2 linked regions of the Arabidopsis thaliana genome follow. The protein of the gene in region 2 interacts with the protein of the main gene of each other region in a pairwise test. Each region holds a gene or a part of one and is shown on either strand. Other genes may lie near its edges.

Region 1 (4,521 bases), 3.3 Mb from region 2:
ATGGCATCCAGACTGTAACACTAATAATATCTACATTACAAGTGATCAAGATCTGATCATCTCGTACTGCAAAGCAGATACCGAAGATCAGTGGATAGAAGGAAATGGTAAGAAAAATAACCCCTCAAGATAATATTAACCAGATATTATAACCTAACAAATCTCATTGATGGATATTGATTATTGGTGTTTTGTGGGATGATCCAGCGGGATCAATCAATATCAGCAATATATTGACTGGGAAATGCTTAGCTAAAATAACACCAAGCAGTGGGCCTCCAAAAGATGATGAGAGCAGCAGCAGTAATTGTATGGGAAAGAACTCAAAGCAAAGAAGAAACGCTGTAGCTGAAGCTTTGGAAGACATAACCGCTCTTTTCTACGACGAAGAACGCAATGAGATATACACAGGAAACAGACACGGCCTTGTTCATGTGTGGTCCAATTGATTTCACATACATCGTCATCGTTAGCTGCTACTACTACTACTACGAATGTATCATTTGGTTTCCTTCAATTGTGTGTAGCGATAAATCTTTTTAACTTAGTGTCTTTGAGCAGCCATCTGTGTTGTAAACCATTTGTGGGCAAGTGTGCGCGTCAGAATGCCAGTTGTGTACACTAATACCATTGTACGTAACATTTGGGTTTTGACAATTCTATGAAAGACCCTTTATTCCACCTGTAAGGTCTCACTTTAATTTTCAAAATTGACTTGATTCAGATAGTTGAGCATCAACTTTGTATGATTACACAAAAACAAGCGATTGATAGAAAATCATCTCATTGCTACCACACCATTGTGTTTTACATTCACTTGAGAATACAAGCTTTACCAGTTTCTTCTGAAAGACTACAAATCTCTAAACCAAACATAAGACACTAATGTGTCGGAAACAAAGATAGATCAAATGTTTAAATTCACCAAGACGATGACAACAGATACAGCAATGAACTTCAGAACTGAGACTTGTCAAGGCTGTCAAAATATGGGTGATCAAGTGCTGTTTTTGCTGAAATTCTTTCGGCTGGATTGTACTTGAGCATTTTCTGCAATTGTACAAACATAAGCTCAATCAGAAAGATTTAACCAAGCAATTCAGCTTAGGAAAAAAAGAGGGAAGCAGAAGCAAGAGGTAACAATATTAGAGCAACTTTGCAACAAAGCTATGGTCATCAGGGAGTTATTTACCGTGAGAAGATCAACTCCTTGAGGTGAAAGAGAAGGAACAGCAAGAGTTAAGTCTTGCGGCTCCCACTTAGGGTAAACATGCCAGTCACGCAGTGTGGAAACACCCGGCCATTGCTGCTCAGTTGGTGTTCCTAGCAACCTCCATGAACCAAATAGGAACCATTAGTAAAGATCATAGTCTCTATTCAAGAATGCTAAATCCATTGAATAATTGGTCAAAGAAACCTGGACTATATAGAATCAGTTGTTCTCAATTGGTAAGCTAGCATATCATTCAGTGATGCAATTCACACTGAAACAGGACAAAACCAGAAGAAGTAATGGAAGGTAAATTCAAAATACCTGAAGATATGAAGCAATTGCTGAAACTCAGAATCACCAGGGAAAAGAGCTTGCCTCCGAACCATCTCAGCTATACAAATTCAAAGATTGAAACAGCATAAATACAAAATCACATCGCAGAGAGACGAATTCAAAAACATAAAAGCATAATTGAGACTACTAACCAAAGATACAACCAACAGACCACATGTCAACACCAGTTGAATAATGAGTAGATCCAAGAAGAACTTCAGGAGCTCTATACCAAAGAGTAACAATCTCATGCGTATAAGACTTAAGAGGAACAGTAAAAGCACGACCAAGACCCAAATCAGCAATCTTAAGAAGCTCTTTATCTTTCACCAGAAGAAGATTCTGCGGTTTAAGATCACGGTGAAGCACACCATGACTATGACAATGCGCAACACCTTTACAAAGCTGAAACATCAACTTCTGAATCAAAAAAGGCTCAAGAGGCTTAGGATTAGGTCCTTTCCTATACGAATCGATGAATTTCTTAAGATCAGTATCGAGATACTCGAAAACGAGATAGAGATTGGATTTGGTAGATTGAGATTTGGTTGATGGTTGATGAACATGTTCGACGCAGAGTAATCGAACAACATAGATCGATGTTGATAACATCTGGAGAAGCGAGATCTCACGAAGAGCAGTTGGTGGAATACCTTCTTCGTCCATCTCGAGACGAGTTTTCTTCAGAGCAACAAGCTTACCAGTTCCTTTCTCCATCGCTTTGTAGACTTTCCCGTATGTTCCTTCTCCGACCTTCTCTAGCTTCTCGTACTTCTCCATTTCTGAGAGGTTTCGTAAAATTGAACTGTGTTGGTTTCTGGACTTTTGATTAACCCTATTATTTGATCAGATTAATGAAGATGATGGATTGTGAGAGAGAGAGAGAGAGATGCTTTCGCTAAGATACTTCCACGTCACTTCGTTTTTCCCGCTCCTTTGGATTTTGAATTCGTTCGTGACAACTGCAACAGATTAACCTAAAGTCGTGACCTCTGTGAATGTTTTTGGGGAAAACTAATTGGACTCACTTATTTTGGTCTAATCTGATATCTACTCAGATGATTTGCGTGAGTTGACGAGTTCAAATTCTTCACGAGTTATATCGGGAAGCCACATATCGATATCGAAACACCAATGGTGCGAATTAAAACATATTAATAGAAGATGAAGATTAGAACTTTCTGTTTCATGAAACAGATAACGAATGAAGAAATGTGATTTTGAACTTCAAAATGTACAAAACATTTTTTGAAAGCTACAAATTCCTATTCTCCACCAGCAATTTCTTCTTTTGCATCTTCATCAATTTCATCAACTTCATCTTTCTTGTCACCTACTAGCTCAGACACAATTTCCAGTCCTTTCTTTACTCTCTCTATCTCCTTCTCTTTCTCTTCCAGTTTCTCTTGCAATATTATCACCTGAGATTTATCAAAGTCACATATTTCCAACAAAACCATAATCATTCTTCCGTTTTAAGAAAAATCTTGAGGAATTAAGAGATAAGAGAAAAGGATCAACACCGTTTCATTTGATCTCTCAACATCATTAGTTAATTCCTCCATGTGTTTGTACAGTCCTGCATTCCACAAAAATCCTCAAATCCAAATTGCAAACTCTACAAAAATCTTTGCTATAACTTAATATCAACATATGACTTACCTTCAAATTGACTTCTAAGTTCCGCGTTTTGAGACTTCTGCATTGCAAGCTTTATTGCTAGTTCATGAATCTGCCATTCCACATGAACATAGGCAAGCATCAATTTCTTTACCCTTTTCAGGGAATCATGTTTTACAAAGGTTGAAGAAGACTACTGCTTTACTATATAATTCATATAATTCCAGATTGAAGACTGAGAGTAGAACAAACTATACCTTTCCTTCGGCAGCTTGGTGCCCAATCTCCTCATTTTCCTCTTGCAGGGTTCTGCACTTTGCCATAAGCATCTTTCCATTCTTGCTTTGAGGAGTAAAAGTAACTGCTGCAATGTTGTCCTGGAGTTCCTTGATCTTCTTGTCTTTTTCCTCTACTAGATTCTGCATAATAGAAACATGGAATCAAACTTCATCTACTCTTTACTTAACTGCAACAAATGTACATTAACAAAAAGTTGGGAATGTTCGTCCTCAACTGTATCTACTACGACAGTGTCAGCTATCAGTTATTAAGGAATTATTCTTTCAGGCCATTCATAACGAAAGCGGAATTTTGTTCCGTAGATACAGTTTGGATTATCTAAGGATATATTACGACAAATACATCCTTATGAAAAAGTAGTCTAAGGGTAAATAGAAACGAGTAGGTGCAGACCTTCAGACGTGAAAATTCTTCATGAATTGCTGGATCCAGTAACAACCTCCTCGCCTACAAAGGTAAACAAAGAATAAATAATCTACACTGCTATCTGATCATGACAAGCTGCTAAATGACCATTGCAATTCAAAATTTATAGCCATTTCTTCTATTCAGACTTGTTAATAATTCAGATGCCAGGTAAAGGTTTACAAGAAACATGCGCTTATCATCGTATTCAGACTGAAATCTAAAAGGCAAGGAAAAGGTTTCCCTCTACATGCATCAAGGTCGAGGATGACCGTCATAAAAGGTACACTACGGCATAAAAAGCGGACTATGCCTAGAAAAGTCCAAGTTACTTCAACAGCTAACTTTTTTCACGATTTGTATTGTTGGCACAATTGTATAAATTATTCCAGAATCAAAACATTGGGAGAACTATATACCTGCATTGACGCTGGCTTGAGTTGAGATTTCAAATCGCGAACAGCTGACTAGAAATACAAAATACAAGACTGTGTTTAGCGACATCTATTCTATGTAATGGTCAAGAAAACATGTGATAGCATCAGTCAGGAATCAAAGTGGTAGGCAATGAGTTTCTCGAGAATTACCTTCAATTCTGCCATTTCTTGTTCCCGTTTCGCATATTGTACAATGCATGACGCTTCTTTTCT
Region 2 (4,726 bases):
AACAAAAAACTTCATGCCTACTTCGAACGTCTCTATTCATATAAACAAGCATTTTCTACAAAGGTAAGTAGATTAGTGAATCCAGAAAAACCAAAACCTTAATAACTAACCAACCACCTAAATGTTTTTCTTTTTATTCCATTTTTTCCAAGTAAATTTTTTTAGTTTTCGAAAATAGATTTCTTTTAACATTCAAAATTAAAACCAAGCCTGCGCCTTTAGGATTTAAGCACACGATCAGTATATTTTTGTTTTATGTAAAAACATAATATTATTACGTTTGTGTCAAACTTAATACAAAATATTTTTGTGTCATCCTCCTTCAAGTCATTCCCCATTCCATCGAGTTGGTTTCTTATTTTACATGATGACCAAGAGATGTTTTTACACCGATCACAAATATTTTGTTTATATATGGTAAATCTGTTTTTGTCTCGTTTTGATTTCTGTATACAGCAGACTCGTGTTCTTAAACTGGAACCCAAATGTTGTACTTGTGCCGAATGTGCGAGAAAGGTGAAACGAGCCATGCTAAACGTTGAAGGTGATTGATTATGCATATATTTACTACCGTTTCTGATATATATAATTAGCAATGGTGGATTTATGATTAGGAGTGCATTCCATCAAGGTTAATGCAAACGAAGGGACGATAGAAGTGAACACTGATATTAACCGGCAAAAGAGCCGAGCTTTTGTGGGAACCTGAACCAGAGTCTCCTGATGACATTTCTATGGCAACTCCGCTCGCCATGCCATCAACTTGCCGACGTCAGGTCCATGTCAGCACCTTTGACCAGACCGTACACCTACAGGACTTGCTTGACAAAAACGCTAGTGGGATCAAACACATGAAAGATTACCGACAAGAGGGTCATCAGTATAACGTTTAAGGAGTCACATGATGATCCCAGGGGCTACCACTCACGGGACTCACTATCTCCAATCGCACCACCGTCCTCTGACCCTAAGAATAGCAATGGCGGTGGTGGTTCAGGTGCTTGTGGTAATGTTGAGGCTCCTGCTACTGCTGCTTAACCACCGCCCAAGATTAACGATACTCCTTGTAATGGCAAAGCAGCAGAGCCTCCTGTCGCTAATGTGAAATGCAGCAGCAGATGGAATAGTTGCGGTTTGATGTAAAGTAGAGATCTATTTAGTAGTTTAACCAGTATCAAGGAAACTATATTATAGCAACTTCTTAAAGAATGAGTTGGTAGAAATTTTCAGATTTTCTACTACACACAATTGTCACAAACAATCAATCATGCAAAAGAATCATCACTACTAAAACACAAAATAATCCTATCTTACCCTTGCCGATCAGCGTGCTGTGGTTTGAGAGCAGAGTGAGTCGGGTGTCCTCTTCTGCCAAGTCTCTTTGTTGGCTCGGCATGCTTCTTTTATGGGCCACTCGATCTGGAAGCCGTCTCTGTTCTGCTTTTCTAACTGACAACAGTGTGTGTGAAACGTCTGAGGATCTACCTGAAGCTTGAAGTCAAGGGTAAACAACAACTCCATCTCCAATCTGTTTAACTCTCTCGTAGTCACACCTCCCACTCTTGCGTAGTATGCATTGTTGAAATACCTGCACAACACCAGAGATCAATGAATCTATGATTGAAGACTTATTTGCGTGTTGAATTTGATACCAGGTTTAGTGAGTAACATACCTATCATCGAAGACTTTAGCAGCTAACATGACAGTTGTAATGATAAGGCGGTGGACATTAAGGGGTTTGAGAAGGGCTCGGGTCTTATGGAGAAAGTGATCAATGTAGATATGCGCAATGACGAAGCAGGAGGGACTGCAGCAAGAGTACTTGAAAATGCGATCCAAGTAGTGTGCAATACTGATCTCAGGGGGAGATCTCCCGTCAAACACGGTAACAGAGTCTGGCGATCCAAGCAGAATCTTGTCATCATGATTGAGTAACAGAGATCTCTCCAGAGAAGAAGAGAGGCGTGAGAGAACAGTCGGTGGCTTTTTCAATCGTTTGCCCTCAATAATAAGTCCTAACCTGAGGTATACATCCGAATCAATGAAAGCTGGATCGGTTGCGAGAGAGTCCATTTCTCCAACGAATCTGCAATGAAGATGATGATGTGCATAAAAATGGTAACTTTGAATAGGGTTTTGAAATAGAAGACGTATGTAGAGTAAATTTCAAGCAGGTGAACTAATTCCTAATCAAGAACCTAAACCCTCTCTATATGTCTCCCTACCTACCAAGTACCAAGAATCTTGAGAGTCAAGAATTAGGAATAAAGTGGAAGAAGCTTACGAGAATAAAGTGGAAGAAGTTGGTTCGTGAACTAGAGAAGGTCCGGAGAATGGAAGAAAGCAGATCTATCTCCGGCGCTTCTCCATTGTTTTTTTTTTGCTGCTCTGAAGCTTAGAAGCTAAAAGAAGCCGCGAAGAATTGTGAAGAAGAAGGAAAGTTTCCATTATTGCCTTTTATTTTATTTTATTTAATAATTTAAGGGTTTTTGATTTTAAAATGAATAATAATAATAAATACAAAAAAGAAAGGACAGAAGGAAGGAGTGATGTGTGGTAGAGAGAGACAGTTCACCGTCGGCGAGTCCAGCTGGCGGTGGTGGGAGCCCACCGTGTCACCTTAATCATCGCTGCGCTGCCCTGTCTTTTTTCCATTATTAATTTTTAGCAAGAAGAAGACTGGGCTTTCTAAATTAGTTATTAATGGGCTTTGGGCTTTCGTGGTTAGGGTTGTGTAGGGGCTTAATCGTCATTTCGGAGATAGAATAAACCCTAATCTCCATGGATGGGCTCTCCGATGTTTGTCTTTTTGATTTTTGAAATTTGATTTTCAAAAATAAACTAAAGCATCATTGCCTCCCATTATCGTCACGCACGCAGATCAATGATTCTCTCACTCTGCTTCTCATTCACGCTTCTTCTTTGAATTCACTTTTCTATTCCTTTCTTTTTCTCCGTCCGAGAGAGTATAGAGAGACCCATTTCTTCGATCCATCCGCTGAGAAAAAAAAGGTACCGTCGTATTGTTCTCTCATGTTTCTGGGTTTCTTTTTGTTTCGAAATATATTCTTCTCGTTTGCAGTGTGATTTTGAGGGTTTCCTTGTCTAAAAAATGCAGTTTTTAATTAATGGATTTACAATAGAAATGTAGTTAGATTCTTCGACACCATCTTCGTTTTCGATTGGATCTACATGTTATGCTCTCTCTTTTTCCTTGGAATACTATGTCAGATTGAGTAATGGTTGTCCTTGTATTGAATTACAGAAGAAAACCAAGCAGTAGTAGAATGGATCATTCAGCGAAAACCACACAGAACCGTGTTTTGTCAGTGAAGATGTGGCCACCGAGTAAGAGTACCCGTCTCATGCTTGTTGAGCGGATGACCAAGAACATTACCACCCCTTCCATCTTCTCCAGGAAGTACGGTCTTTTGTCTGTTGAAGAGGCTGAGCAAGACGCCAAGCGCATTGAAGATTTGGCCTTTGCTACTGCCAACAAACACTTCCAGAACGAGCCTGATGGTGATGGCACTTCTGCTGTTCACGTCTATGCTAAAGAATCCAGCAAGCTCATGCTTGATGTCATCAAACGTGGTCCACAGGAAGAATCCGAGGTTGAGGTGAGCAAGGATGGTGATGTCTTTTTTGATATATCTGGTGGGAGCAGAGCTTTTATTGAAGAAGAGGAGGCACGCGACCTTTTGAGGCCTCTGGCTGACCCGCGTAACTCCTATACCAAAATCCGTTTTAGCAACAGGAGTTTTGGGTCTGAAGCAGCCAAATTTGCTGCGAGCGTTTTGTCTTCCATCAAGGATCAGCTGACGGAAGTGGATCTCTCGGATTTTGTTGCAGGAAGACCAGAGGCTGAAGCGCTTGAAGTCATGAATATGTTTTCATCTGCTTTAGAGGGTTCTAAGCTTAGGTATCTGAATCTCTCGGACAATGCTTTGGGAGAAAAGGGAATTAGGGCATTTGCTTCTCTCATCAATTCTCAGCATGACTTGGAGGAGCTCTATCTGATGAATGATGGCATTTCCGAGGATGCTGCACGTGCAGTTCGTGAGCTTCTCCCTTCTACTGACAAAATCAGGGTTCTTCAGTTTCATAACAACATGACAGGAGATGAAGGAGCAACTGCCATTGCAGAGATTGTCAGGGAGTGTCCATCTTTGGAAGATTTCCGGTGTTCATCTACAAGGATTGGTTCAGAAGGTGGTGTTGCACTAGCTGAAGCACTTGAACACTGTAGCCACTTGAAGAAACTTGATCTTCGTGACAACATGTTTGGAGTCGAAGGTGGAATTGCCCTGGCCAAGACTTTATCAGTCTTGACTCATTTAACCGAGATCTATATGAGTTACCTGAACTTGGAGGATGAGGGAACAGAGGCACTTTCTGAAGCTCTACTTAAGTCCGCCCCTTCTCTTGAAGTTCTAGAATTGGCTGGTAACGACATTACTGTAAAATCCACTGGAAATTTGGCAGCTTGCATCGCCTCCAAACAGTCTCTTGCAAAGCTGAATTTATCTGAGAATGAACTCAAAGACGAAGGGACTATCTTAATTGCAAAGGCAGTTGAAGGTCATGATCAGTTAGTTGAAGTTGACCTGAGCACCAACATGATCAGAAGAGCTGGGGCAAGGGCCTTGGCACAAACTGTTGTGAAGAAAAATACTTTCAAGCTTCTGAACATCAATGGAAACTTCATATCTGAGGAAGGTATTG

What was found.
Region 1: the proteins of CYCP1;1 (region 2) and CDKB1;1 interact in a two-hybrid assay, tested with the Arabidopsis thaliana proteins (one study listed by BioGRID).

What each region holds. Positions count from the first base shown.
Region 1 is NC_003074.8:20,057,687-20,062,207, reverse strand, and holds CDKB1;1 (cyclin-dependent kinase B1;1), read right to left. Parts: upstream 2,538-4,521; 5' UTR 2,327-2,537; coding exon 1,699-2,326; intron 1,605-1,698; coding exon 1,535-1,604; intron 1,332-1,534; coding exon 1,193-1,331; intron 1,051-1,192; coding exon 958-1,050; 3' UTR 720-957; downstream 1-719. Other genes in the region: AT3G54190 (Transducin/WD40 repeat-like superfamily protein), read left to right, coding at 1-107, 208-449; FIP37 (FKBP12 interacting protein 37), read right to left, coding at 2,812-2,967, 3,070-3,125, 3,209-3,278, 3,424-3,585, 3,860-3,913, 4,291-4,338, 4,459-4,521. UniProt on the Arabidopsis thaliana protein: May control G2/M (mitosis) phase progression. Plays a role in regulating seedling growth in darkness via regulation of hypocotyl cell elongation and cotyledon cell development. Plays a role in stomatal development. Required to suppress endoreduplication.
Region 2 is NC_003074.8:23,321,820-23,326,545, forward strand, and holds CYCP1;1 (cyclin p1;1), read right to left. Parts: upstream 2,463-4,726; 5' UTR 2,075-2,462; coding exon 1,674-2,074; intron 1,589-1,673; coding exon 1,324-1,588; 3' UTR 540-1,323; downstream 1-539. Other genes in the region: RANGAP1 (RAN GTPase activating protein 1), read left to right, coding at 3,289-4,726.